Linked DNA regions of Canis lupus familiaris. The protein of the gene in region 1 purifies or fractionates together with the protein of each later gene. This does not show direct contact. Links are inferred from orthologs where the notes say so. Each region holds a gene or a part of one and is shown in the gene's direction. Other genes may lie near its edges.

What was found.
Region 2: the proteins of HSP90AB1 (region 1) and PPP5C purify together in Homo sapiens (affinity purification with mass spectrometry; 6 studies listed by BioGRID and IntAct, with this or other methods). This does not show direct contact. The link is inferred for Canis lupus familiaris from reciprocal best matches to the Homo sapiens genes HSP90AB1 and PPP5C.
Region 3: the proteins of HSP90AB1 (region 1) and CDK4 purify together in Homo sapiens (affinity purification with mass spectrometry; 5 studies listed by BioGRID and IntAct, counting the BioPlex papers as one, with this or other methods). This does not show direct contact. The link is inferred for Canis lupus familiaris from reciprocal best matches to the Homo sapiens genes HSP90AB1 and CDK4.
Region 4: the proteins of HSP90AB1 (region 1) and CHUK purify together in Homo sapiens (co-immunoprecipitation; 3 studies listed by BioGRID and IntAct, with this or other methods). This does not show direct contact. The link is inferred for Canis lupus familiaris from reciprocal best matches to the Homo sapiens genes HSP90AB1 and CHUK.
Region 5: the proteins of HSP90AB1 (region 1) and HSPD1 fractionate together in Homo sapiens (co-fractionation; 3 studies listed by BioGRID). This does not show direct contact. The link is inferred for Canis lupus familiaris from reciprocal best matches to the Homo sapiens genes HSP90AB1 and HSPD1.
Region 6: the proteins of HSP90AB1 (region 1) and MCM5 fractionate together in Homo sapiens (co-fractionation; 3 studies listed by BioGRID, with this or other methods). This does not show direct contact. The link is inferred for Canis lupus familiaris from reciprocal best matches to the Homo sapiens genes HSP90AB1 and MCM5.
Region 7: the proteins of HSP90AB1 (region 1) and IKBKB purify together in Homo sapiens (affinity purification with western blotting; 3 studies listed by BioGRID and IntAct, with this or other methods). This does not show direct contact. The link is inferred for Canis lupus familiaris from reciprocal best matches to the Homo sapiens genes HSP90AB1 and IKBKB.

Annotation. Positions count from the first base shown.
Region 1 is NC_049233.1:12,845,140-12,849,257, forward strand, and holds the start of HSP90AB1 (heat shock protein HSP 90-beta), read left to right. Parts: upstream 1-1,308; 5' UTR 1,309-1,326; exon of another isoform or gene 1,327-1,337; intron 1,338-2,366; exon of another isoform or gene 2,367-2,530; intron 2,531-3,312; exon of another isoform or gene 3,313-3,638; intron 3,639-3,957; coding exon 3,958-4,104; intron 4,105-4,118. UniProt on the Homo sapiens protein: Molecular chaperone that promotes the maturation, structural maintenance and proper regulation of specific target proteins involved for instance in cell cycle control and signal transduction. Undergoes a functional cycle linked to its ATPase activity.
Region 2 is NC_049222.1:110,176,343-110,180,552, reverse strand, and holds the start of PPP5C (serine/threonine-protein phosphatase 5), read left to right. Parts: upstream 1-1,397; 5' UTR 1,398-1,483; coding exon 1,484-1,604; intron 1,605-4,210. UniProt on the Homo sapiens protein: Serine/threonine-protein phosphatase that dephosphorylates a myriad of proteins involved in different signaling pathways including the kinases CSNK1E, ASK1/MAP3K5, PRKDC and RAF1, the nuclear receptors NR3C1, PPARG, ESR1 and ESR2, SMAD proteins and TAU/MAPT.
Region 3 is NC_049231.1:2,166,958-2,171,194, reverse strand, and holds the start of CDK4 (cyclin-dependent kinase 4), read left to right. Parts: upstream 1-1,435; 5' UTR 1,436-1,636; intron 1,637-2,108; 5' UTR 2,109-2,127; coding exon 2,128-2,345; intron 2,346-2,478; coding exon 2,479-2,614; intron 2,615-2,730; coding exon 2,731-2,898; intron 2,899-3,032; coding exon 3,033-3,142; intron 3,143-3,402; coding exon 3,403-3,453; intron 3,454-3,598; coding exon 3,599-3,734; intron 3,735-3,976; coding exon 3,977-4,069; 3' UTR 4,070-4,237.
Region 4 is NC_049249.1:13,175,819-13,179,349, reverse strand, and holds part of CHUK (inhibitor of nuclear factor kappa-B kinase subunit alpha), read left to right. Parts: intron 1-220; coding exon 221-290; intron 291-1,543; coding exon 1,544-1,632; intron 1,633-2,795; coding exon 2,796-2,885; intron 2,886-3,014; coding exon 3,015-3,139; intron 3,140-3,325; coding exon 3,326-3,433; intron 3,434-3,531.
Region 5 is NC_049258.1:6,898,070-6,902,230, reverse strand, and holds the start of HSPD1 (60 kDa heat shock protein, mitochondrial), read left to right. Parts: upstream 1-1,330; 5' UTR 1,331-1,466; intron 1,467-1,567; exon of another isoform or gene 1,568-1,684; intron 1,685-2,179; coding exon of another isoform or gene 2,180-2,227; exon of another isoform or gene 2,228-2,340; intron 2,341-2,479; 5' UTR 2,480-2,481; coding exon 2,482-2,655; intron 2,656-3,979; coding exon 3,980-4,161. Other genes in the region: HSPE1 (MOB-like protein phocein), read right to left, coding at 265-429, 2,180-2,227. UniProt on the Homo sapiens protein: Chaperonin implicated in mitochondrial protein import and macromolecular assembly. Together with Hsp10, facilitates the correct folding of imported proteins.
Region 6 is NC_049231.1:29,725,256-29,728,786, reverse strand, and holds part of MCM5 (DNA replication licensing factor MCM5), read left to right. Parts: intron 1-715; coding exon 716-844; intron 845-1,809; coding exon 1,810-1,952; intron 1,953-3,531. UniProt on the Homo sapiens protein: Acts as a component of the MCM2-7 complex (MCM complex) which is the replicative helicase essential for 'once per cell cycle' DNA replication initiation and elongation in eukaryotic cells.
Region 7 is NC_049237.1:24,111,167-24,114,697, reverse strand, and holds part of IKBKB (inhibitor of nuclear factor kappa-B kinase subunit beta), read left to right. Parts: intron 1-1,890; coding exon 1,891-2,015; intron 2,016-2,104; exon of another isoform or gene 2,105-2,217; intron 2,218-3,531.

The DNA of each region.
Region 1 (4,118 bases):
TGCAGCCCTCTAGGGGCTGAAACCTCCATCTTGTTTCTGCAATTCTGCATCCCAGGAACTCACTGTGGGGGGCTTAAGTGAGTGTCAGCGAGTGGGAGAGCCTTCCAGAAAAGACAGAATTTCTGTGCTAGTGCGTGATTTGAGATCTTCCCATTAGAAGACCCCGGGAGTCTCTGGTCTTAATACTGATCCACAGGAGTGATTTCTGCTGCTTTGGACTTGGGTCCTGGGAAGGGAGACAGCATTGCTACTCCATTCCTGGAGCAAGGAGCGAGGGTTGGTGCAACAGAGGCTCTGAGCTGACTGATCTCACTGAAGCCTTGCTTTCCCAGTGAGAACGGGAGACTCACTTTTACCTCTTCACAGTATTGTGAAATAGTTTGAATGCTCTTTGTGAACTAGGGAGGTTTTTAATTTTCTAGGCCCCTTCTGCCCAGAAAGAGAGAGGGTATGTTGAGGGATGACACACTTCGTTTGAGATCTTGATCAGGAACAGAGAATCCTGGAGGATTCCTGGCAACAGCACCCACAGCTCTTCCCAAACACATTAACTTCCCCAAGTCACAGATTTCTCACACACCATTAAGGAGAATAGGGGGCAGCCCGGGTGGCTCAGTGGTTTTAGCGCCGCCTTTGGCCCAGGGCATGATCCTGGGGACCCTGGATCGAGTCCCACGTCTGGCTCCCTGCATGGAGCTGCTTCTCCCTCTGCCTGTCTCTGCCTCTCTGTGTCTTCATGAGTAAATAAAAATCTTTAAAACAGGTGTGTGTGTGGGGTTGAATAAAAGAGTAAGGAGAAATATAGGAGTGGTGGCTGTGGCTGGGTGATGAGGTCTGGTGCTTGGGGAAAAGATAAGGAATTGGAAGGTCTGTTCTTCGGAATTTAACATATGAATAAGGAAATACAAAGGAAGGAAGAAGGCTGAGGAAGGACGGCGGGCGGTGGTGCCGGAGGCAGCCCCTCCCCAGGATTCCAGGGAACGACCCTGTGGGCCAGGGAGAAGTGGATGGACCCCTACAAGGTCACAGAGCAGCAAGAGGCCATTCTCTTCCGGAGGGGCCGTGGGTCCGACGGCATTCCTAGGGGAGGCCTTAGGTAGACAAGGACGGCTTCCCCTCTGGAAGGCGCGCGAAAGGGGCTGAGCCACGGCGTCCCACAGCTCTCCCGGCCGACTAACGGCTCGGGAGCGCCCGCGCCGCAGCTGGAGGGGAACGACTTCTGGCAGCCTGCAAGGGGGCCCGCTCCTCCTCCCGTCTGCCGGCCGCAGGAGCGAAGAGGGCCCAAACTGAAACCAGATGGGGAAACAGCTCCGTGTGCTCACGCAGGGAAGACGCAGGTCTCCGGGTCCCACTCACTTGGGCGGATGCACAAGTAGGGGAGGGTCCTCCTCCCCGCCCCCCGCGATGGCGAATGCGTCCCCGGGTCTCTGCGCCCCGAAGGCGGCGCCAGCACCACCGCCCCAACAGCCCCAGGCCGTGGGATCGATGGCGGGGGTGGGGGGGTCAATCTTTCCCTTTATGCTCCATCCCACTCCCGAGGGAGCGCTGGGCTCGCCGAACCGGCAGGTGGGAGATGAGGGTCCCCCCCGCGGGCTCCCAGGTTAATAGGGGAACAGCCCGCCTCCTCCCCGGGGACCGCGGCGGCTGCGGACACCCGGCCCAGGCCGCAGAGGGCGGGGCGGCGCCTGCACGGAGGGGGCGGGGCGGGGGCGGGGCCGCCAAGGCGGGTCTGGAAACTGCTGGAAGTAATCGCAGTACCACCATTGCCGCTCCTTCCGCCGGACGCGGGCAAAGAGTCCCCCTGCCGGTGCCGGCCAGGGCCCTTCCCCCAGCCGGAGCCACACCCCGCCGCACAGCCGCGGCTTTCGCCCACTGCCCCTGGGAGGGCCGGGGCGCAAGGCCTCCCTGAGGTTAGACCCCGGATTCCGCACCGTCCCTAAGGAAAACTGCTTCCCCTTCTCGGGTTGTGGGGGTCTGGAGGGCAGATTGTAGCAAGAGTCGAACCCGGGAGCCGAGGTCGGAGCGGTTGGCCGCTTCTATCCCCGCCCTCCACCTTTATAGGTGTTCCTCCAGGCCAGGACTCGAGTGGGGAGGCGCCTGCCTCATGGTTTATAGGAAGGCCAGTGGCACCCGCACCCCTAGATCCCCCACTTATTTCATATGAAATAAGACGTTCCCAGTCTTTAGTTCTCGGAGGGAGCTCATGCCTTGCAAAAGCAGAGATGTACTTGCGTACTCTGAAGGCGGAGACCGAGACCGGCGGCCCCCCCCCCCCCGCCCGCCCCATTTTGGGCCATGACGTCAAGGTGGGCGGGCAGCGGCAGGTGCGGGGCTGAGCTGCACCCTCCTTTAAGGCGGAGGGATCCGGGGGCCGGCAGCTGGTCTGTGCTCCGCCGTATATAGAGCGGCCGGGGGCGCACAGCCGCTCTCTTGAGTCACCCCCGCGCAGCCTTGGTTCGGCGTCGTAGCCGGACGCAGCCCCTGCCCGCCGTGGTCTGTAGTGCTTGCAGCTCTTCCCCTTTAAGGTAAAGTCGTAGCTATTTCCAGGTTTTCCTGCCTGGAGTGCTCTCTTGAGTTGCTCTCGTTCCTCGTTTCCTTTCTAAAGCCTGGGTTTCGTGGAGTGGGAGCGGCCTGTGGGATGGGACGACTCCTAACTGCTTTCGGGGGTGGCCGGGAGGGGGACCGCGAGCTAGACTTGCTTTCTCACCCGTGCCTGGTGGCGGGCGTCCCCGCGGGCGGCGCCTGGCGCTGGGGGAGGTGGGCCGCGGCGCGGGCTGGGGGTGGTGGGCAGCTGCACGTGGTGTCCGCGCCGGCCGGGACGCTGCCATGTTTGCCCCTCCACTTCCGGACGCGGCTACGGGGCGCCGGAGGGTCCCCGCGCGTTGTGGGTGTGCGCGCTGGACGTGACTCAGCACGGCCCGGGGCTGGCCTGCCCGTGCCGCCTGTGCCATCTGTCCCCTGGGACGCGTTTTGCAAGGGTTTTCGTTTTTTTTTTTTTCTGTGACCTTCGGCGAGCAACGTTTGACGGCGGTCTCTGGCCCATAGTGCTTCCTCTCCTTCCAGATCTTTCCTGCAGTGTCGGTGTGGGGGAGGGGAGTGGAGGGGGCAAGCTCGGGAAGATTCATGGGCCCTTTCCTCCCCCGCCTCTCCGAAGAGCTGAGATTGTTCTGGAAGCTTCTGGAACCCGGCGCCCCGCCCTGGTGCCCGGATGCTGGGGCGAAGGGAGGCTGCGCGGTGGCGCCCCCTCCTCGCGTGGCCCTGGCCGACGCACGTCCGGCAGTGACGAGGGTCTGCCCAGCGGACGACGGCCACCATCTTGGTTATGTTTGGTTTGGTCCCACGCTGTAGTCACGTGTGCTGGGGTCGCGATGGAGCTTCTGCCTTAGCGGTTCTTTGTCTCAGCCGCTTGGGCGGGTATCCACCGGCCCCGGGGGTAGTCGGCCCCTGCGCTCCAGGGTGCTTGATGTGGGAGACCCCCAGCGGGAGAGCCAATTGCGAATTCCTTTTAACCCGAAATTGGTCGCCTCGGGCTACCGTTTGTCCTACCAAAAGAAATAGAGCCGTATTCAGTGCTTTTCTCTTGAAAATTATCTGGAGTCCTTTTCGTGTTCCTGGATCCGATCTGCATTTTCAACGAGGTACTCGGTGATGCGGAGTCTGTTGGGTCCCATGGACCACTTAGAGTACTTAGGCTCCAAGGTGTTTTTCCAAAACGCTTTTGACGTCGTGTGTTGTGTTAGAGAAGCTTTTAAAAATTCTTCCTGAATTGGATTTCCACTAAGGGTATAGGCTGAAATCATTGAGGGAAAAGTTTTCTAGTTTTTCAGGAATATGTCTACTATCCAGCCCAAAGCAATTTCAACTAAAAGCTGAGTCTTCGTTGTGAGTAGGGTGAAACGGAGTGTTACCTATGGGGCCACGGTGTTCTTTTGTAATTCTTGACTGTTCTTATTTTAGATGCCTGAGGAAGTGCACCATGGAGAGGAGGAGGTGGAGACTTTTGCCTTCCAGGCAGAAATTGCCCAGCTCATGTCCCTCATCATCAATACCTTCTATTCTAACAAGGAAATTTTTCTTCGAGAGTTGATCAGTAATGCTTCTGATGTGAGTGCTTTGGG
Region 2 (4,210 bases), on another chromosome or scaffold:
TCCTCCTTCACACTTGGTTATCTCCTACTCATTTTCAGCTCTTGGTTCAAACATTCCCTCCTCCAGGAACTCTTCCCTGCTTGTCCAACAGGGTGAGCCCCTCCTCTCCCCTCTCAGGTCTAGGTACTCGATACCACTCTGAGTATTTTATTGGACTGTGTATAAAAAGTGCTTACTCTGTGTTAGGCCCTCTGCCAAATACTTTATTCCTATGATCTTATCAAATTTCCGCTAATCATATATAATAAGCACAGTTATTGTCCCCATTTTACAGAAGAGGAAACAGGTTCAGAGGATGATCACTTGCCAGGGTCACACAGCAGGGAAGGACTGAGCTGGATTCGAATCCGGGATTCAAATCCATCACAGCAGCCTTCCCATACACACTTCTAAAAATCTCAAAAATCTAGAGTCTAGGGACAGTGGAGTAGGGCTTAAGAGCACAGAATCAGATGGGACAAGGTGAAGTCCTGGCTCTGCCACTCTCCTTGTATGACCTTGGGGAAGTTGGTTGACTTCTACAAACCTCGGTGTCCTCAGTGGTAAAATGGAGCTGATACTATAATCTACTTTCTAGGCTGATTGTTGGCTATGATACGAGGTGGTGGGATCAGGCTGTCAGGACAAGGCGACTGAGAAGTGGGACAGCTGTGGTTGTAGGATGGGAGCTCCAGCAGGGCCTTAAATGATTTAGTGCCATAGTTCCACAGGAGGAGCAGTTGAAGGCTTGGAGAGGATGGTCTGCTAGGATGTAATGGTTGGGGTGTGTGTGTGTGCATCTGGAGATGTCGCCTGGGGCTATCCTATTCAGTGTTTCCTAGGTAATGCAGTAGAAAGAGTTTAGGTTTTTCTAAGGCCACTGTTGCAGGCTGGGGACTAGGAGATGAGGATGAAGAAAGGAGATGGTGCAACAAACTTCTGGGCCTTGCTCAGGACTAGGGCATCCAGAGCGCCTTCAGTTAACAGATGGAGATACAGTTAACCTTCAGGGTTGGAACTTTAGTCTCTTGGTTTGAGAATCCACGCATTTTTCAGAGGGGGGTAATTGCCCCTAATTGCTCAAGGTCACCCAAATAACCGGCCGTAGGGCTAGTCTCCCGGCTCTGGTTCTGCGTGGGGCTGCCTTGCAGCCACACCCACCCACCCAAGAAGACCCCTCCAGAACTTCGGCGGCCTTCGAACACGGCGACTTCGCGAGCGCGGGCCCGGCCAGACCTTCCCCGCTCGCCCCCGCCCCGCGCGCCCCCTTTCGCCCTCCCCATTGGCTCCTTCTACGAAGGGCGCTGTCTAGGGTCCCTCTGGTCACCTTGTCCTCCGCGCGCTCTATGGCGAAAGGGCCCTGCGCAGGCGCGCGAAGGGAGCCTTCGGGGCCCGCGCTTTACGACACTTGTGCAGCAGCGGCCGCAGCAACTCGGCACTCCTTCGCGACGATTCGGCCGGGTGCCGCTGGCGGCCGTTGCCAGGGTGGGGGTCGCTTTGCGGCATGGCGATGGCGGAGGGCGAGCGGACTGAGTGTGCTGAGCCCCCCCGGGACGAGCCCCCGGCTGATGGCGCTCTGAAGCGGGCAGAGGAGCTCAAGACGCAGGCCAACGACTACTTCAAAGGTGCGCCTGCCCCGGAGGGGGCCAGGGAGGGTGGAGAGCGGCCCGGGGCAAGGGGTGCCCGGCCCGCGCGGAACCATGGCAACGCGGAGCGGCAGCCTGGGCGCGGGGCAGGCACTACCAAGTGACCGGGCTTGGGGAGGCCCAGGATGCCGCTACCAGGGGCCGACAGGGGGGGCTTCTGACAGGAGGGGTGATACCTAGAAGCGGCATTCGGAGCGGGTGCTACTAAATGGGGAGACTGGGGAGGGCGCTACCAAGTGTGCGGCGGGAGGGGGACGGGAGCGAGGGCATTTCCGAACGTGAGGTCCTTGAGAGGTGCTAGTTGTGGTGAGGCCTGAAGAGGGCGCTGCCAAGTAGTGACACAGGGCTGGGGAGTGATGGTGCTACCCAGTGGGGAGATGGGGCGGGGGGGCGGGGGCACTGTCCCAGTAGAGTAGGGGTGGGGAATAGATCATTAGATGGGAGGGCAAGGAGATTGGGGGTTGCACGAGAAAAAGGGATGCGTGGGAGGCCCTGGGAGTAAAGGTGGGGAAATCCCAAGAATAGTATGACATCCGATCTTGAAAAAGAGTAAGATGTGGGGGCACTCATTCATTCAGTAATTCATTATATTTCTAGAGCACCTGCTTTGCGCTAAGGACTGTGCCAGACTCTGGGGATTTAGCAGGGAATGAAGCAGATGTGGCCCTGCCCTTTTATAGCTTGTAATTCAGCAGGAGAATAAGACATTGAGCAAAAACACAAGAAATAATAAAATGCTTAGAAGTTATGAAGAATGCTTTGAACAGACCCCAACAGGGTGTGAAGGAGAGAATGAGGGCTGGAGGCTACTTTATAGAGAGCGTCGTCAGGGAAAGCCTTACTGAGAAGGCATTTGAGAAGAATCGCGAAGGAGTGTTTCAGGTGGATGCAGCCAGATGTGCAAAGGCCCTGAGGTAGGAAATGAAAGACTAGTGTGGTGGAAGCTTTAGCAAGTTAGCAGGGAGATGGATACAAGATAAGTTTAGGACCGGGGCCAGACCAGGTGGGGTTTCATAAGTCATTGCAAAGCTGGTTTGGATTTTACTGGGCTATTCAAGAGGAGACATTGAGTTGACAGATGGGCCAGTCTGGAGCTGCAAGGAGAGGAATTTGGGCCTGATCAGCCTATGCATGGAATAGAACACCTGCAAATGGATGAGGTCATCTAGGGAGAGAAGGGGCTGGAACCTTGAGGAATTCTAATGTTTAGAAAAGAAGAGGAAGAGGCTGAGGAGGAGTGGTCAGTGAAGTGAAAGGGAAGTTGGGAAAGGTGTCAGGAAAGATGAGAGAAGAGAGTGCTTCTAGAAGGAGGGGGGCTGTACCTTGGGTCGGGTGCTACCAGGGTGAGCACTGAGCATTGACCATTGGATTTGGCTTCACGAATGTTGGTGGTAGCCCTAAGAAGGGCAGTTTATAAGAACAGTTTTGGGCAACAATGAAGTTGGTAATTAGCTAGGAGAACACCCAAGGGTGAACAGGAAGTGAAGTAGAGACAGCAAATGTTGACAAAGTGGTTCAAGTATTTTGGTCCTAAAAGGGAGTGGAGAAATGGAGAGAGGGAGGTGCTTGCTTTCTTTCTCTCTCTTAAAGGATGGAAGAGTCCAAGAGTCTGGTCCAGTAGAGAGCTGGAATTGATCCTACAAGAGAGATGGGAGACTTATGGCAGCAAAGCTGGGGAAAAGAAATGGGGTTGGAATCTAGAGCCTTAGCAGCCTTCAGTTGGCCTTCAGTGGAAGCGCAAGGGGATTCAGAGCAGGAACATTTGGTCAGGCTGCAGCCACGAGGAGAGGACCAGTGAGAGATGAGGCGGAGCCTTGGAGGCCAGTTCAGGGAGTGTGGATGTCATCCTGAGGGTGGTGGGGAGGCATGGTAAGATTCCCCAGCTTCCGGGCTGAGATTGGATACAAGGGCAGAGCTGGAGGTAGGAAGGAGACAAGGATGGTGGACAGGTAGATAAGAGGTGTCTCTGGTCAGAAACCAACAAGAAATGTTTCAGAGAGGATATGAGGGCTGGTGAGAGGGAGGAGGGAATGCCAGGCAGAAAGAACAGGATGGCAGAGGCCTATCCTGGCAAAGGTGAGCAGAACCTAGCCTCAAGGAAGTAAGTGGAGCCGGAGTGTAGGAGGCAAGGGAGGATGCTGAGCTTTCTACTGTGGACTCTGGGGAGCCATGGATAGTTCTGAGAAAGGGAAGGACAGGGTTAGGTTTGTGCTTTAGCTGGACCCCTACAGAGGGGCAGGACTGGAGGCTGGGAGAGCAGGGAGGAGGCTGAGGCAGGAACCCGGGCAGGTGGACAGATTGAAGGCCAGACCAGGGCAGGGCGGGGCTGGAGGGATGGAAGTGGATGAATAGATCTGAGATGTTCAGGAGGCTGCCTTGACAGAACATGGCAACTGCCTGGCTTCGGGGGGTTGAGGGGTCGGGAGAGGTGTCGTCGGGAGAGGTGTCCAGGATGAGGCATGGTCTCCAGCTGGGGATTGGCTGTCCCTGAAATGGGGCTGAGGAAGAGCAGCAAGTATGAGGGTTGTTGCTGAGGCGAGGTAAGAATTCTGGGAAACCGTAAGTCATGGGGAGGGGCCCCCTGC
Region 3 (4,237 bases), on another chromosome or scaffold:
TGCCAGTTTAGACCTTGAGGTTTTTCTTTCTAGTGTTCCAGCTGCCCTTGCCAGCAGGGCCCAGAGCTACAACTATCAGAATGCAAAGAGGGCGAATCTGTACTGACTTGTATTCCATTTTGTCCTAGAACGTGGTTTATAGTCATCTCGAGCCTGAGCTCTTACATCCTCCACTAGATGGTTAAGGAGAATAGAAGTTAAGGTGGAAGGAGTGGCAAATAGAGTCATGAAATGATTTTAGACAGGTTGTCCCGAACGAGATACTGATCTCTTCCCTCCTTACTCTCATTCCCCTAAAGGGCTAGGAAATAAGGAAAGTCAGAGGAACCTGTCTATTGTCGACCTAAGTGTCTGTGAGCAGAAGCAATTTGGGAAAGTCCAAGTTCTGGGCGGGAGCAAGGACTAAGAAAGCTCGCACCGGGGGAAAGAGGGAAGCAGAACGACCCCAAACAAGGAGTCACAGGGTTTGTGGAAGAGCACAAATCATTCTCACGCAGTGCTGAGGTCCAAGGTGGTGGTGGAGGTAACCTCCCTGCACACGCTCACTCCTGTATCTGTCCATCTGTACACAATGTGTAAAATACCCACACATACACAAACGCGCATATCATTGCCTCTCCCTGTTGCAAAGAACCTTGCAGGTTAAGTGTTTCTGTCTCTTGCTCATTGGTAATTTCTCCGCCAGAAAGCACCGTCTTATTTTAACGCTCCCTGGAAGAGGTGGAAGTTGGAAAGATGGGAGGGCATCACCTTGACACTCCTCCGGTTGGGTCACTGCATTAGTGTGCCTTCCGTCAGTCCGTTAGTGCTGGCTGTGCCCTGAGATGGGTATTGTCCCCACCGGGGGCTACGTCTTTCCAGACAGCCCCATCACTCCTTTAAAGGGCCAGCGACTGAGACACCGGAAAAAAAAAACCCGCATGCACACAGGAAGCGAGCACTCGGTAAAAATTTGTTGAATGAGCCAATGAATGAAACAAAGACACAAACGAGACCAGGTCTCCCCGCGGCAGTGAGGCCGAAAGGCTCCAGCGCCCGTCCCGCCCCCGCCTCGTCTCCAGCTCCCTGACCGCCGCGCACAGAGGGAGGCGCGGAGCGAGGAGCGAGCGCCAGAAGCGCTCAGGCGCGGCCTGCAGCTCGGCCCTGGAGCCGGGTGGCCCGGGTTGCCATGGCACCGCCCTGGACTCCACCCTCCCCCGTCTCCCCGCACCCCCGCCGGGTCTGGCAGTCGGTCACGTGCCCCGCCGCGTAGCCACACCTCTGCTCCTCCGAGCGGAGTCGGGCGGTCACGTGTGATAGCAACAGATCACGTGGCCGCCGTCGCCCCGCCTGCCCTCTCCCCTCCCCGCCCGCTTCCCGGCCGAGGCCGCTCTGGCCGCCCCTCTGCGCACGCGCGGCTCGTCACGTGGCCCGAACGTCCGGCTTTCGCCCCGCCCCGCCAGTTTCCGCGCGCCTCTTTGGCAGCTGGTCACATGGTGAGGGTGGGGGTGCGGGGGCCGCTCTAGCTTGCGGCCTGTCTATGGTCGGGCCCGGAGCGTCCAGCTGCCCCGGACAGAGCTCCTGTGTATGGCGCCGCAGGCTCTGGCTCCGGGGCCCCGATAACGGGCCGCCCCCGCAGCACCCGGCGCCGAGTGAGGTGAGCGTGGCGCCTTCCCGGGGACGGGACCGCTGTCGCCCTCGCGTCTGCCTACGCGGGCAGGTTACGGGAGGGTCGCTCGAGGGCGGGAAGTGCGGCCCGCGCAAAGTTCCTTTGTGGTCAGCTGGGATGTAATGGTAGGGACGGATGTCGAGTCTTCGATGCAGGGGGTGTGTCGTGTGCGGTCTGCCCCGTGCGGGGCGCGACGGCCCGTCCCCGAGGAAGAGGAATTCTTTCTTTGAGGGATTCACGTTTATATTTAAGGCGTGGGTTAAATAACCCCCCCTGGCGGGGTTGGGGTTAGAGCCATTGTGTCAGCTGAGGAGCCAGCCTCACGGAACTGGGGAGAGGGACGGGGTGGTGGAGGGGGGGTCTTTGTGATGCCTTGTGGGGGAGTCACCTCGTTGCGGCAGGCTCATACCACCTGAACTCTTGAGGGATTTTCGGTGGCAGGAGGCTTTTGTGATTGTAGGGTCTTCTCTGATCCGAGAATGGCTACTCCTCGGTACGAGCCAGTGGCTGAGATTGGGGTTGGTGCCTATGGAACGGTGTACAAGGCCCGTGATCCGCACAGCGGCCACTTCGTGGCCCTCAAGAGCGTTAGAGTCCCTAATGGAGGAGGTGCCGGAGGGGGCCTTCCCATCAGCACAGTTCGTGAAGTGGCATTGCTGAGGCGGCTGGAGGCTTTTGAGCATCCCAACGTTGTCCGGTGAGAAGGTGGGGGGTGGGGAGTGGGTAGTAAAGGGGAAAAGACAACTTGTAGGTGGGGATTCTGGGGAAATGGGGAAGGCCGCATCGGGTCCAGAGGGATTGATCAGTGAGTGACCACTTGTTCTGGCCAGGCTAATGGACGTCTGCGCCACTGCCCGAACCGACCGGGAGACCAAAGTGACCCTGGTGTTTGAGCACGTGGACCAAGACCTGAGAACGTACCTGGACAAGGCACCCCCACCGGGCTTGCCAGTGGAGACCATCAAGGTGAGTAGGGTGGGTGGACACTGAGGAGTAGATTGAGACCTTTGTGGCAGAACCTGCTGTGATTTCAGGTATGGTGCCTAGTTCCAGGTCCTCTGTTCTTCCCCCTTCTAAACCAGGATCTGATGCGCCAGTTTCTAAGAGGCCTAGATTTCCTTCATGCCAACTGCATCGTTCACCGAGACCTGAAGCCCGAGAACATTCTGGTGACCAGTGGTGGGACAGTCAAGCTGGCTGACTTTGGCCTGGCCAGAATCTACAGCTACCAGATGGCACTTACGCCTGTGGTCAGTAGCAAGAGGGGAGTAGGAGAGGGGTTGACCGTAGCAGTTGAGAAGTCGGGCACTTTGTGACTTTAGTCAACCAGTTATGGTTCATGGTAACCCATGGGGTCTTCATCCACTTTTCTTGTTCCTATTAGGTTGTTACACTCTGGTATCGTGCTCCAGAAGTTCTTCTGCAGTCTACGTATGCAACACCCGTGGACATGTGGAGTGTCGGCTGTATCTTCGCAGAGATGTTTCGTCGCAAGTATGGGACCCAAGCATCCTGAACTATTTTGAGTTTCCCAAACCAAATCTCTTAGTCATAGATCACATCCATTTCCTGCCCAATCTTTCACTTAAGTATTGTTGACTGTTCTGTCCCTAACCAGAAACTCTGAAATGTCCCAAAGTTAGGAACTTCACATCCCTGTATTCCCCCACACTCTCTGTTTTGAGCCATTACCTACCAGTAATTATTCCACTACTGTATCTTTGGACATGACTTCTGTGTTTTTTCCACCTTAGGCCTCTCTTCTGTGGAAACTCTGAAGCTGACCAGTTAGGCAAAATCTTTGAGTAAGTGACCAGCATGAGGGGAGAAAAAAAAAACTTTCCATTCCAAATCTTTTTTCTGCTGAGCCCCACATGGCAGTTGGCTCTGCCCCTGGAGATGTGGGCTAGAGAAAGACCCTCTTGACCAGAGCTCTCCTGTTCCCCATAGTCTGATCGGGCTGCCCCCAGAGGATGACTGGCCCCGAGATGTGTCTCTGCCCCGAGGAGCCTTTTCCCCTAGAGGGCCCCGTCCAGTACAGACAGTGGTACCTGAGATGGAGGAGTCTGGAGCACAGCTGCTGCTGGTACTGGGCGTGGGCACGGGCACAGGCTGAGGATGGGGTGGAAGACCGAGCACTAGCATTGCGGTTACTAAGACTTGGTTGGTGGATGGGCTAGTTTTTACTGGCGCCAGTGAATAGGCCATCCATAAAGAGGGATGTAGAAAATAGCCCATCCTAGGTATTGTTGGGGGTGAGCGGAAGTCTTTTTCTTTTTTTTTTTGTTTTGTCTTCATGACCTTTTGATCTTTGCCTCCCCTTCTCAGGAGATGCTGACTTTTAACCCACACAAGCGAATCTCTGCCTTCCGAGCCCTGCAGCACTCTTATCTACAAAAGGCAGAAGGTAACCCAGAGTGAGCAGTGGAATGGCTGCAACGGTAGCAAGAGGAGAGAAGCTGTCTTTTCTCTTCCTTTGAACACTTGAGTGGAGAGCTCCCCAAACTAAGAAGGCAGTCTTGACCTTCATCTCTGAGGCTGTGGAAACAACTCCCACTTTTTACAGAGAATATTTTGCTGCCTTAATGA
Region 4 (3,531 bases), on another chromosome or scaffold:
TACTTTCCCCTTTTATCTCTACCTGTGTAAGTCTTGTCATGAAATTAATTTATTCTCAGTATGGTTTTGGTGATTTTTCCCTTCTTACATTTTCTTAATTGTGACTTATTTCTTATTTGAATATTCTCTTAGTGTATATAGTGATTAATGTGTTGCTACTGCTGCCCAGCAGTATTAGCAGTATACATTTTTAGATTTCTTTGTTTTTTTTTTTCTTCAGCTACTCAATAAACCAGAAAATTGCTGTGGACTTAAAGAAAGCCAGATACTTTCTTTACTGAGTGATATAGGTATGTAATCAGTTTGAAAATACCATCATAATTTAGTGCCCCTTTGGTTTATAAAAGGATCTATATACTACTTGGGAATTAAGAATTTTTGATGTACTATACAAAGCATACACTTTTACCATCTATAAGAAATTATCAGAAAAATTTAACTCTTGTTGATGCTAAAACTAGGATATTTTATTTTTTTGTTTTTCGCCAGGAGACCATTTTTTGACTAATGGATGCTCTAAGTGCTAAGAAAGAATGGTGTGAAATGACCTTATTCAATTTTGCTCCCCCTTCTTCTCTGCCTAGCATAGTAATTTTATTTACCAGTGACGTTGCATCTTTTGGTTATAGGTTCTCAAGTCAACTTGTAGGATAAAATTCCTTTTTAATAAGAATTAATCTGGGACACCTGGGTGGCTCAGTAGTTAAATGTCTACCCTTGGTTCAGGTTGTGATCCCAGGGTCCTGGGATCAAGTCCTTCATCGGGCTCTCTATAGGGAGCCTGCTTCTCCCTCTGCTTATGTCTCTGCCTCTCTCCATGTGTCTCTCATGAATAAATAAATAAAATCTTTTAAGAAAAAAAAAATTACTCCTGAAAAATCCTTAATTAGGCCCTTGGAAGTTCAGAAGCCAAGAATATGTTTCCCTATATATTTTTTCTTTTTTTTTTTTTTTTAAAGATTTTATTTATTTATTCGTGAGAGACACAGAGAGAGAGAAGCAGAGACACAGGCAGAGGGAGAAGCAAGCTCCATGCAGACAGCCTGATGTGGGGCTTGATCCCAGGACCCCAGGATCACACCCTGAGCTAAATAAAGGCAGACACTAACCACTAGCCACCCAGGCCTTCCTCCCTATATATTTTTATTTTGTTTCTTTTTCTAGGTCATGGAGGTCAAGTCTAATTGAAGACGATGATTTAGGTGGGAGGGAAAACTAGGGGGACTTATGTAATTCTACAGTATTTGTTTAATATTAACTGGATTTTCTGTGGAGAGACTATTAACTGGTACAATACCATTAATCATATAATTATGATGGTCTGTGTAAATAGGAGCATCAGAGGGGTGCCTGGCTGGCTCAGTTGGAGGAGCATGCAACGCTTGGTTTTGGGGTTGTGAATTCAAGCCCTACATTGGGTGTAGAGATTACTTAAATAAAAAAAGAGTTTGAACATCAGAGAAGATCTGTACAAAATGTGAGATGAATTTATTTTTAATTCAGTGTTTCTGTTACCTCAAAATACATTTTAAACTTTATTCAGGGTCTGGGATCCGATATTTGCATGAAAACAAAATAATACATCGTGATCTAAAACCTGAAAACATAGTTCTTCAGGATGTTGGTGGAAAGGTAGGTAAAACCTGAAGAACTGTTACATGCCAATTGAATATAGATTCCCTGGTATAATTAGTCTTTGAAATCTGGTGCCTTTCCATAGCATTTTATACTTTTTCTTCCCCAGCCTTCATTTCACTGAACTGTGGTTTTGTGTTTAGATGTTTGTCTCCTCTTCTAACACAGTGTTTCCATTAGAGAAGGAACTGTCCCTATCTTGGGCACTTCTGGTTTTGAATACAGTATCTAGTAGAGATAATAGACAATGAATAAAAATAATTTGTTAATCCCTTACAAAGCACATCCAACACACACACACACACACACACACACTGGATTTGGTTAAGTATATTTACTTAACTGTTTCTTATTTAAGAAAGAACAACCTCATTCTCTTCCCTCAAATTCTAAGTGCTATATATAAGTAAAATTCAAAACCTTGGTTTCTCAGATTCTTAAATGAGTCATCTTGAGAAGAACCAGAAATTATGCATTGACTCCTGGAATACTTGTATTTATCAGAATAATTTGAGCAGTTTTCTTGTGACTAGCACCCAAGTTCCATTCCAATAAAGATGTAAAGCCAAGAGTCTGAACCTTGAATTGGATTGTGTGGTCTTTAGTTAGTGATGATGGTGGTCAGTTGAGGTGATAAAACTGATGGTGCTTCTTAAGAGCCTTTCATGTATGCTTGGCACCAACTATTTCTGCTTCGTTTGTATCCAAAGTCTTCAGGATATTCCTGAAGTTAGATAGGTCTTTACTCACTTAGTGGTATGATTCTTTCTCAACTTTGGAAGTCATCCTTACCTTTCCCTTTTGGTTTAATGGATCAGTCTTATTCTGAATATGCCAAAATAAAAATTAATAGTCTATACTTAATTTTGTTAACATTTTTTACCATGCATCAAAGGAACTATGTTATTCTTTTCTTTCATTATTTCATTGAATCCTAATAATAATTTTGTGAAGTAAAGATCATTAGTAATATCATTATGTAGGAAACTGAGAGAAGTTAAGTAACTTGATCAAGATCATATAAGTGGGCAGCTCAGGCTTGAAATATGTTTGTGATATTCCAGAGCTCAAGCTCTTCCCCACCACCTTCTCCAGAGCCTTATAAGGATATTGTTGCCTTTCCTTTTCAAATTTCTCATTTAATACTTCTTGTTTTGCAGATTATGCATAAAATAATTGATCTAGGATATGCCAAAGATGTTGATCAAGGAAGTCTGTGTACATCTTTTGTGGGAACACTGCAGTATCTGGTGAGACATTAATTGTTTCTTTGAATTCATGTTCTTACTTCTGAAGGTCATGAATATAGTAGTCCAAAAATAAAGTAGCTCTTCTCTTCTAGTGTTGATGTTTGAAGCATTTTTTTTTTTCTTTTTAAGGCCCCAGAGCTCTTTGAGAATAAGCCTTATACAGCCACTGTTGATTATTGGAGCTTTGGGACCATGGTGTTTGAATGTATTGCTGGATATAGGCCTTTTTTGCATCATCTGCAGCCATTTACTTGGTAAGAAATGGAAGAGAACTTTGGTGTGCTTAATGGTAATGTAAATTTTCAGTTACCTGCTTTTTTTTTCTTCCCGCTTCGTATGTGTAATTGCCTTTTAAACGCATAGTTGAATAAAATTAAATGGCAAAAAAAAATCTTAAGAGTATGAGAATGAGTTGTCAACTGAGGTAACTTGTTTTATAGGCATGAGAAGATTAAGAAGAAGGATCCAAAGTGTATATTTGCATGTGAAGAAATGACAGGAGAAGTTCGGTTTAGTAGCCATTTACCTCAACCAAATAGCCTTTGTAGGTAAGTATATTTTAGTTGAGAAAGTTCACCTCAGTTTCTTTAGGATTATAAAAGAACAGTGGAATTGTCTGTTTCAAGTAGTATTGTGTAGTAAAACT
Region 5 (4,161 bases), on another chromosome or scaffold:
CACACCCACTAAGGCCAAAAAGAGTTAAAAGATTAAGGCAATTACGATGTTAGAGGTCAAACCTAGAGTTTAAATTTTCCCCAACTTGTAAAAGCACCCACGGATCATCTTAAATACGGTTTTTTGGTTTATCAAAGACTTAGAATTTGAAGAAAAGGCCGATCATACTCGGCCACCAAATGGTTAACTACTTTTAATAATCGAGATTTCCTTTTTTTCCCCCTCCACTCCACATAAAAACGGTTCAACGTTAGCCCCACTTACCTTTCCTTTGGAACCCGATCCAACAGCCACTACTGTTGCTTGCAACACTTTCCCTTGAGATTTTTCTGGTAGCATGATACCTCCTTTGGTTACAGTTTCAGCTGCACTCCTTTCGACTAAAACCCGGTCAAAGAGGGGAAGAAACTTCCTAAACGCCTGCCCTGCCTGTAAGAGAGGAAATGTGACATCAAATTTGAAACAGCAGTAGTTATTCGATTACATTCTCAGCGTTACTCGTCAAAAAAGCACGTGCGTGGCTTTCAAAGTTAACGCCAAGGCTCAGATTCGCTTAAAGGAAAAAAAAAAAACAACACGCCACTTGAGTGTTTTGCTCTCATGAGTCTAATTTCCCGTTCTACAGCCGTTAGGGGTGGTTGCTGCTGCTGTGCTCAGCCCTCGAACGAGCTTTAAGGGCAACCTTGGTTGACTTCAAGGTCAAAGATTTTCCTTCCTTGGGTTTCTCCGGGACATTTCTGCAAAAGCCATCAAGACGCGCGCCTGCAGCCGGGCTTCCGCAGCTGCTGCGCGGGCAGAGGCCCCGCGGGAGGCGCGCGTCCGTCCCCGGCCCGGGCTGCAGGCGAGCCGGGCTCCCGCGTGCGGGGCTCCCGCGTGCAGGGCCCAGGCGCCGGCGAGGGGCGGTGGGCCCGGCCTCCGCGCGGCCCCTGCAGCTGAGCCCCTTGGGGCCCCCTCCCCTCCCCGCACGGCTGCCCCCGCGCTTCGGGGAGGGCCGGCCGCCAGCCCCCGCGGGCCTCACCATGCCTCCGGCCGCCGCAGTCCCACTCGCTCTGGAGCCGCCGCCGCCGCCGCCGCCAGGAGACCCGCAGTCCGACCCCCAGGCCACGTGAACGTGGGAAAAGGCCGCCCGGCGCGCATGCGCGCTCGCTCCCGCGCCCCGCCCCTCCCCGCAGGAGAGGGTGGCCGCGCCAGCGCGCGCTGCGATTGGCCCCCGGCCCCGCGCGCCGGCCGCTGACGCGGGGACGCCCAGGCGGAAGGAAAGGGGACTTCTTTCTAGGCCTTTCCAGGCCGCCCGCGGAGGTGTAAGTACTACCTCCTCGCCCCTCTCCCGGAAATGACGCGCCGTGAACCTTGACCCCCCCCAGAGAGCGCCGCGCTTCCCGGAACGTTCTGGAACCCAGCGCAGCCCGGGAACTAGCCTAAGCCGGCCGGAGGGGGCTGAGCCCGCCGGCCCGGCCCTGCCGCGGGTAGCGAGGGGCGGGGCTGGCGCGGGGCGCGTGCCGATTGCCGGGCCCGGGCGGGCGGGCAGGGCTGGGAGGCGCCGGCGCGCGCGGGGCCGCGGGGCGGGGGGAGGGCGGCGGAGGGAGGGGACACTGGCTCTTTGCCGTGCGCGCCGCGCGCTCTGCCCCTCAGTCGCCGCCGCCGGCCTGCCTCGCCGCCCGCACGCTCCGCCGCCGACCCGCAGGTACCCGCGCCCGCGCCCCGGAGCGCCCCCCCCCCTCCCGCGGTCTGAGAGGGCGGCGGGCGGGCGGGCGAGGGCCGGGGCTCCCGGGGCGCGCAGCCCCCGCCGCCGGGCCAGGCCTCACGGGGTCCGGCGCTGCCGTCACGTGCGGCCCGCACTGCTCCCGGGCAGGGCGCCGCGGGCGGGCTGGCCCCGGGGTGGGGGTCGGGAGCGTGCTCGGCGGGCCCGCCCCTGCCGCCCCCGCCGCCCCCGCCGTCCCCGCCGCCCCCGCCGTCCCCCGGGCCGCCCGCAGGGCGCCGCGCTGCTGGGTGGTCGCCGCCGCCGCCAACGCCGCCGCCGCCGCCACCGCGGGCCCCGCGCACACCGTGACCTTGCGGAGGGCGTCCTGAGGGGAAGACACGTGGGCCGGGCCCCCAGCGTGGCGGCCCCGGGCTGCTCCGGCCGCAGAGGCCCGGAGCCGTCGCCCGGAGCCGCATCTTACTGAGCACATTTTTGTACCTTCAGGAACGGGTTTTTTTTTTTTTCCCTCCTCCCTCGAGCGCCCATGCCTTTGCTGCAGACTTGGGTTTTCGGGAGCGCGTTCTCTCTACGCTGTTGAAGCGGTAAAAGGTTCACTCGGTTCTCGCGGCCGCGGGGAAGGCGATGGGCGTGCTCTGCGCGTCGGCGGGGTGGCGCGCGCTCGGCCTCACGTGGCGCCGGCGCAGGTGCCCGCTGTTCCCCGGGGGCAGGCCGTGCGGCGACCCGGGGTGCCGCTGCTGTGGGAGTACTGCTGACCTGGTGCTTTCCGTCCCTCCGCAGAAATGCTTCGATTACCCGCAGTGCTCCGCCACGTCAGGCCAGTGTCCAGAGCCCTGGCTCCTCATCTCACTCGGGCCTATGCCAAGGATGTAAAATTCGGTGCCGATGCCCGAGCCTTAATGCTTCAAGGTGTAGATCTCCTAGCCGATGCCGTAGCCGTTACTATGGGGCCAAAGGTATCAGTGTTTTTTGTTTTGTTGGAATTGACAGTATCGTGAGTTCAGGAGTAGAAATTTAATTATGTCAGAGAGTCCCACCGAGCTGTTGAGCAGTAAGTACTTGCGTGTCCGTTGTTCACTCATTTATAATCGGTAGGACTTATCTAGATACTGGGACAGCTCTCTGATTCGGGTCTGTAACATGTAATAAATTCAGGAGCCTAGATTTAGGTTAAGCTACTAGTATTTTCTTGATGAAAATTGCCTTACCTGTATTTGTTTTAATGACTTACGGATCCTGGGCTCCTCGTGCAGTCTGAGGAAGGTATTGCAATCAGAACCGCGTACTGACGATAAAAGCCTCTGGAAGCAATAAAGTTGTCCTTAACATTAAAAAAAAAAACTCCAATAAATACGTAAGAGTTCCCAATTACTGCTTACTCTTTTCTTTTACGTAGATAACAATGGTCTTAAAACCGTTTCTTTAAAATTTGCGAAACTCTTTCCTACAACGTCTGATGTAATGGACTGGTAACTCACAGCTCAAAGTGGATTTGAAAATGGGAGGTAGAATTAATCTTGCCTGCCTACTTAAGGTTTGGGTTTTTCCCTGGCGGTTCATACCATTGGTGGAAGTACTGTAATGAAGATTTGTCTCATTTAATATGAAGAGGGTATTGAGTGAAAGGGTAACCCGTTTTGAGGAGACCTTTGAAGGTGATGCACAAATGGAGTGATGCTTGATTGCAGGTTGACAGATCCAATATCAGAGTATTGATACATATTGTATAAAATGTGGCATTTGTATGCCTCCCAAGTAGCAGCTTTGGTTCAGATCCAGAAGCTGCCAATACTGTTTGCACCATGATTTGAGATTTAACATTGAATCAGCCCCTGAAAGAGTGAACTGTACTTGCCTTGCTTTTGGTATTTTATTTAGTAGCTAAATTTTGAAGCCTCTTTTCTTATTATTTTCATAGATAGCAGGCACTGGACAAAACTTAATTATGAATCATGTGAAGGATATTCTGAAATTTCATTATGAGCTACCAGGTTGTTTGGTTTTCTGTGTGTGTGTATGTTTTAATGAGATGACAATTTTAGTCTCTGGGATTTTTATCTTCCATAAAACCCTCAATGCATGGTTATGCATTTGGCAACAGAAAAAGTCATTTTGTTAGTAAGCTAGGAACACTGATGGATTTGCCTTTGAGATTCTTGCACATTTAATAAAAGCGACAACTTGTGTTGAGGCTTTCAAGTAATTAAAAACTGTTCATTGTGTTTCAAGCTAAATGCACTCAGGTATGTGATTCTGTCACTTTTTTTCCTCTAATTATAGGGAAGAACAGTGATTATTGAGCAGAGTTGGGGAAGTCCCAAAGTAACAAAGGATGGTGTGACCGTGGCAAAGTCAATTGACTTAAAAGACAAATATAAAAATATTGGCGCTAAACTTGTTCAAGATGTTGCCAATAACACAAACGAAGAGGCTGGGGATGGCACCACTACTGCTACTGTCTT
Region 6 (3,531 bases), on another chromosome or scaffold:
GCAGAGGGAAAGAGGTTAAGTGACTCATCCAAGGTCGTTAGTGGAAGGTAGCAGAGCCAGGATTTGAACCCAGGCACTGTGCTGGGAAGCTGCACCTCTGCCTCTCTTGTCTCTTGTTGGAGATAAAACCTGAGGGTGGGGGTCTTAGAGGGCCCCTCTTGCAGGAGATGAGGCGCTATAGTCAGGTGGGTCCCTAAGTACCCGCCCCCCCCAGCTGCAGTGATGAGCCCAGCAGCTCCTGCTCCAGCAGTCCTTGTCACAATTCCTTTTTTTTTAATTTATTATTTTTTTAAGATTTTATTTATTCATGAGACACACACACACACAGAGGCAGAGACACAGGCAGAGGGAGAAGCAGGCTCCATGCAGGGAGCCCGATGTGGGACTTGATCCCGAGACTCCAGGATCACACCCTGGGCTGAAGGCAGGCGCTAAACCCCTGAGCCACCTGGGGATCTCCTTTCGTCACAATTCCTTTTGGCCACATCCTCGGGGGCTTGGCCCTGGGTGTGAGTCACCCCACCTTGATGCCAGGTCCTGGGTGGCTGTGGGGAATGGACTCCCTTCTCCTGGCCTGGTTTCTTATCCTCAGGAGGAGGGTGGGATTAGGTGATCTGAGCATTGTCCTGAATCTGTGATGTCATTTGGCTGGGGATACAGTGGGTGTCCCAAGGTTCCTTCCTGGACCAATGGCAGCTGCTCCCCCATCCTGCAGGAAGTGTGGCCCCCGGCTATCGGCAGAGGCTGCAGAGAAACTGAAGAACCGGTATATCATCATGCGGAGCGGGGCCCGGCAGCATGAGAGGGACAGCGACCGCCGCTCCAACATTCCCATCACTGTGCGGTGAGTAGGGGCCAGGGGACTGGACCCAGGTGGGCAGGACGGGCCTCAGTTTACACAGCAGGATGTGCCCAGCAAGCCTGAGGCCAAGGGCCCCTATTACCACTGCAGGCCCATAATAAGGGCTGCTGGTCAGGTCAGCTTGGGGGAGCATCAGCAGTGGCCTCCCTGATGATATGTATTTCTTGGCTTGTTTTAAGTTTGAGGAAACGTGGAATCTGTTTTTTCTGAATTTTGTCTGGCTTCCCTCATTGCAGGAAAGCCTGGGGGTGAGGGAAGGGCCTGGTCATGGGAGTTCAAGACCTGGGTCTTAGACTTTGGCCCTCTCTGACTGAAGGGAAATTCCTTTCCTTCTCTGGACCTCAGTTTTCATAGTTCTTAACTTTTCATTCTTTGGAGTTTATACAGTAGGAGGTTGGGCCTACCTGGGCTGGATCCTGTCTCTAGTAGGATTAGTTAGAAATGGATTTAGCTGTAAGTAATGGAAAACTCAAAAAAAAAAAAAAAAAAAAGAAAGAAAGAAAAAACTCAAAAAAGTAAAGTCAATAAATTGAAAATTTACTTCTCACATAAAGATGTTTGAGGGTAAGTGGTACAGGGTTGGTGTGATGGCTCCTCAGTGTCATTAGCAACTTGGGCTCATCCTCATAGATGGCTGCTGGATCTCTAGCCATCACCTCTGCATTCCAGGCGACAGGAGAGGAAGGGGAAGAAGGGCCCATCTTTCCTTAAAGATGTTTCCTGAAATCCCCACAAAATGTTTGAACTGAGAACTTATTGGCTGAATCTTAGTCACATAGACACGTCTAGATGCAAGGGAAGCTGGGGAATGTCTTAGCTGGGTGCCACATGCCGGAGTCAAAATCGGGGTTCCGTCACCGAGGAGGAAAGGGCAGCAGTCTCCTCTGCGGCCTTCCTCCCTTGGGCGGGGTGAGGCCGTGAACTGAGTCCACCGGTGGTTCCCACAGGCAGCTGGAGGCCATTGTGCGCATCGCGGAGGCCCTCAGCAAGATGAAGCTGCAGCCCTTTGCCACAGAAGCGGATGTGGAGGAGGCTCTGCGGCTCTTCCAGGTGTCCACGCTGGATGCCGCCTTGTCCGGCACTCTGTCAGGTGAGCGGACCCCCTGGGACACGGGCTCGGCCGTGCTGAGGTCCCAGCTTGGTGCCCTGGGGGGGCCAGGCAGTGCCCCAGAGCCTGGGAGCCTGTGTTGCTTCTGTGCGTTGGCCCAGCATCTATGAACTACCTCCCTTGCGCTTGGCCCTTCCCCTCCATCTTCCTCCCTGATGAGAAGCCACAGCGTTCCCCCCCAGACCCTTGAACATGATCCTTTTGGCTCTGTTAATGATTAAGAACTGTGATTTTATCATTGTTGGGGATAGCACTCCTGCCCTAAGCTCATAACGATTTTGAGCGCTTCCAGAGCTCTTTTCCTTGTTCTGTGTCCAGCTGCCCCCAGAGACTGGATGGGCACACAGAAGACAGACAGGCACTCGGGGGCTGGGTCCGGGTGCCAAGGTGTGGTTCCCTAGCTGGACTGCAGATCTCTCCACCCATGGGCCTGTGTGGGTCAGACCCCTGTTGATCCTATTCTGGGTTCAGGCTCGGCCTTGAGCAGGCTCTCCTGGAGCTCGGCCTGTGGCAGGCTCTCCTGGAGCTCGGCCTTGAGTGGGCCCTCCTGGAGCTCAGCCTTGAGCGGGCCCTCCTGGAGCTCAGCCTTGAGCGGGCTCTCCTGGAGCTCGGCCTGTGGCAGGGTCTCCTGGAGCTCGGCCTTGAGCGGGCCCTCCTGGAGCTCGGCCTTGAGTGGGCCCTCCTGGAGCTCAGCCTTGAGTGGGCCCTCCTGGAGCTCAGCCTTGAGCGGGCCCTCCTGGAGCTCGGCCTGTGGCAGGCTCTCCTGGAGCTTGGCCTTGAGCGGGCTCTCCTGGAGCTTGGCCTGTGGTGGGCCCTCCTGGAGCTCGGCCTTGAGCGGGCCCTGCCAGAGCTCAGACTTGAGTGGGCCCTCCTGGAGCTCGGCCTTGAGCGGGCCCTCCTGGAGCTCGGCCTTGAGCGGGCCCTCCCGGAGCTCGGCCTGTGGCAGGCTCTCCTGGAGCTCGGCCTTGAGCGGGCTCTCCTGGAGCTTGGCCTGTGGTGGGCCCTCCTGGAGCTCGGCCTGTGGCGGGCCCTCCTGGAGCTCGGCCTTGAGCGGGCCCTGCCAGAGCTCAGACTTGAGTGGGCCCTCCTGGAGCTCGGCCTTGAGCGGGCCCTCCTGGAGCTCGGCCTTGAGCGGGCCCTCCCGGAGCTCGGCCTGTGGCAGGCTCTCCTGGAGCTCGGCCTTGAGCGGGCTCTCCTGGAGCTTGGCCTGTGGTGGGCCCTCCTGGAGCTCGGCCTGTGGCGGGCCCTCCTGGAGCTCGGCCTTGAGCGGGCCCTGCCAGAGCTCAGACTTGAGTGGGCCCTCCTGGAGCTCGGCCTTGAGCGGGCCCTCCCAGAGCTCGGCCTGTGGCAGGCTCTCCTGGAGCTCGGCCTTGAGTGGGCCCTCCTGGAGCTCGGCCTGTGGCGGGCCCTCCTGGAGCTCAGCCTTGAGCGGGCTCTCCTGGAGCTCGGCCTTGAGCGGGCTCTCCTGGAGCTTGGCCTGTGGTGGGCCCTCCTGGAGCTCGGCCTGTGGCGGGCCCTCCTGGAGCTCGGCCTTGAGCGGGCCCTCCCGGAGCTCGGCCTG
Region 7 (3,531 bases), on another chromosome or scaffold:
GAGCTTGGAGTTTGGTGAGAGAGCAGGCATTACCCCCCACACTTACACAGAAACTAAGAAACTACAATTGTGACAAGTGCTACAAAGGGAAAGGGTGGGGTGTTATAAAAATATGTATTAGGAGGACCTCACCTAGTCTGGGACTGGAAGGGGCTGGAGGCAGGGAAAAGAAGGGATTGAAGCAAAGGATGTAGTCCATGGAGGACCAGAAAGACACTGAAGGGTTTAAATTTGGAGAGGGATTGGTATTACCCCTTGAAAAGATGAGTCTTGATGCATTGTGGAGGATGAATTGCACTGAACAAGAGTAAATAGCGGGTAAGTAGTAAGGAGGCTGTTGTGATAGTAAGCTCAGAGCTGGTGGTAGCATTGAGGATGTAGAAAATAAGTCAAGAAATGCCTAGCAAACATTATATGGTCTCATTCATTTGGGGAATATAAAAAATAGTGAAAGGGAATAAAGGGGAAAGGAGAAAAAATGAGTAGGAAATACCAGAAAGGGAGACAGAACATGAGAGACTCCTAACTCTGGGAAACAAACAAGGGGTGGTGGAAAGGGAGGTGGGTGGGGGGTGGGGGTGACTGGGTGACGGGCACTGAGGGGGACACTTGATGGGATGAGCACTGGGTGTTATGCTATATGTTGGCAAATTGAACTCCAATAAAAAATAAAAAATAAATTAAAAAAAATAACAATTAAAATTAAAATTAAAAAAAAAAGAAATGCCTAGCAAGAGACTCCATAAGACTTGGTAATAGATTGCTTGTGGATGGTAACAACCAGTAAAATTTTGGTTGATCGAGGGGTCTGCAGTTTAATGAACAAACAAAAAAAGGTTGAAAGCCACTGGGCTAAATAAGCTTAAATGTTTTATCTAGTTCTTAAAAAATAAGAAGAAATTCTTTGATGTCTCTTTGAGTGCATTTATACTTCCTGCTTATCCTACCAACTAGGGTAACAGGCTCCATCGCTTTATGACCTGCTCTCTGGATAGAGGTCTCAGAGTGGTGACCCATGGGGGGCTGTGATTTAGGCCCCTGCCCTGTGTCCATATCATGTAATTACATAGGTCCTACTGAGTATACTCTGGGAGCCTCACGGGCTCAGCAGGAGTGATGTGAGGTGACCCCGTGCTCTGACCAGGATGCTCAGTGAAATCTTCACCTTTAAAAACTAAAGCTTCTGTCTATAACCAGATACAGAGATTGATCTGACCCTTCCCCAATTTTTCCTCGTGTTTGGCACTCCTTGACCCTTCCATAAGGGTCACACTTCTAGCCAGACAGTCCATGGTCCTGTCTCCCTGCCTGGGCTTGTGATGGTCCTTTCTGGAATGTCCCCTCGCAGACACTTATGTGAGGAGCCTTCTTCTGACCCAGGTTCTGTTCTGTGCTTCAAAGCTTTGCTTGGTTACTTCAGCTGTCTCTGCTTGGGGAGCAGTCCTGCATCTGGCTGATTGTAAATATCCCATCTCATTGTACGACCACATTCCTAAATCACATCAGTTTAAGAGACTTGGTCATCATTTAATGTGTGTGTACGCATTTGGTGTGTATAGCCTGGTGTCATTTTCCTTTGTTGTATGTAAGCTATCTTCCCACCTGGACACTGCACCCAAGAAAAGGGCATATGATGTTCTCTGGTCTACCCAAAACACCCCTAGGGGCCCTTGTATCAATATCAGGAGTGAATGAAGTGCCAAAAAATTCTAGACACCACCAGTTACACATGTGGTCACCTCCTCACCCTGGAATGGACATGCCAATGTGCTCTGGATGGAGTCAGGGGCATGTGGGGACATGATTAGAGGGGCAGGTTGCCCCCTCCTGTGGCAGCTCCTCAGAAGAGGAAGCAGCTCAGGTGTTTTCCCACCACACATTCTTACACAGGCCCCGGAACTCCTGGAGCAGCAGAAGTACACAGTGACCGTGGATTACTGGAGCTTTGGCACCTTGGCTTTTGAGTGCATCACGGGCTTCCGACCTTTTCTCCCTAACTGGCAGCCCGTGCAGTGGTGAGTGAGGGACGGGGGGCCTGTGGGTGGGGCGAGGAGCACCTCCTGAAGGGAGGACTGTGTCCCCCTGTCTTTGTCACATCCTTTACCTGTTCCCACCTCACCGGGCACTTCCAGCCTGGGCCCGAGGCATCGGTCATCTGTCTCCCATAGAGGATGTCATGTTAGGACCCAGCACATGGGCAGTCCAGACTCAAAAATCCTGGAAAAGTAGAGCAATTGTTAAAGTGTTAACATCTTTAAAAGTAATGCCTTATAAATATTTGCCCTGTATTCAGTAGCAACATGCCAGTACATTTACAGACTGCTTTATACAACAGTGTACTTATACTGAAGATGCTGTGTATTAGTAAATAAATAAAGGACATGTATGCAAGACAAATGATAAGTATTTTCGTGGAAGTGTATTATTGACAAATTTTACCATTCCTAAATATAAATTTTTGTTTTAAAAGCATAAGAGGGATCCCTGGGTGGCACAGCGGTTTGGCGCCTGCCTTTGGCCCGGGGCGTGATCCTGGAGACCCGGGATCGAATCCCACGTCGGGCTCCCGGTGCATGGAGCCTGCTTCTCCCTCTGCCTGTGTCTCTGCCTCTCTGTCTCTCTCTGTGTGACTATCATGAATAAATAAATAAAATCTTTTTAAAAAAATAAAAAAATAAAAAATAAAAGCATAAGAAAGTGGCTTAAAATTTGAACCAATTTGCACACAAGAAAGTTACCAGAAAAAAGATTTATAAATAAAAAACTGAAGGATATACTTTTTAAAAAATTATATCTTTGCCTTTTTTTTAATTACAAAAATAAGTGTATAAGTGTTCATTGTATATGTGAAGGTAAATCATTACCAAAATGTGTAGTTTGAAAACTAACATTCCCCTAAATTAGGTTTCATTCAGAGTATTGAGAGGCCACACACTAATTTAAATGATGCAACTGTTATTCCAATTTTTTTTTTTTTAAAGATTTTATTTATTCATGATAGACATAGAGAGAGAGGGGCGGGGGCAGAGACACAGGCAGAGGGAGAAGCAGGCTCCATGCCGGGAGCCTGACGCGGGACTCGATCCCGGGACTCCAGAACCACGCCCTGGACCAAAGGCAGACGCTAAACCACCGACCCACCCAGGGATCCCCCAAATTTTGTTTTTATTTCCAGTTTTTGTTTTGTATTGTTTTGTTTTAGAGCAGTAATAAGTTCATATGGTTCAAGCTTCCAAAAGTGATAAAAGAGTATGCACTGAAAAGTCCCCTCTGGGCAGCCTCCCCACCACCTGGCTTCCTTCCCCATAGGTACCTGCTACTACTGGTTTTTGGTGTGCTTCCAAGGGTGTTTCATATGGGTACAAGAAAATTGGTCTGTACTTGTCTGTTGGTTCGTTTGTGTTTCACCTCTTTTTTACATCAATGATTAACATAATATGAACTGTCCTGCATGTGCTCACAAAACATTTTTACACCATGAGAATTTCTTTCACACAATCCAGAAAGAACCACTATGAACATTTTTGTGTG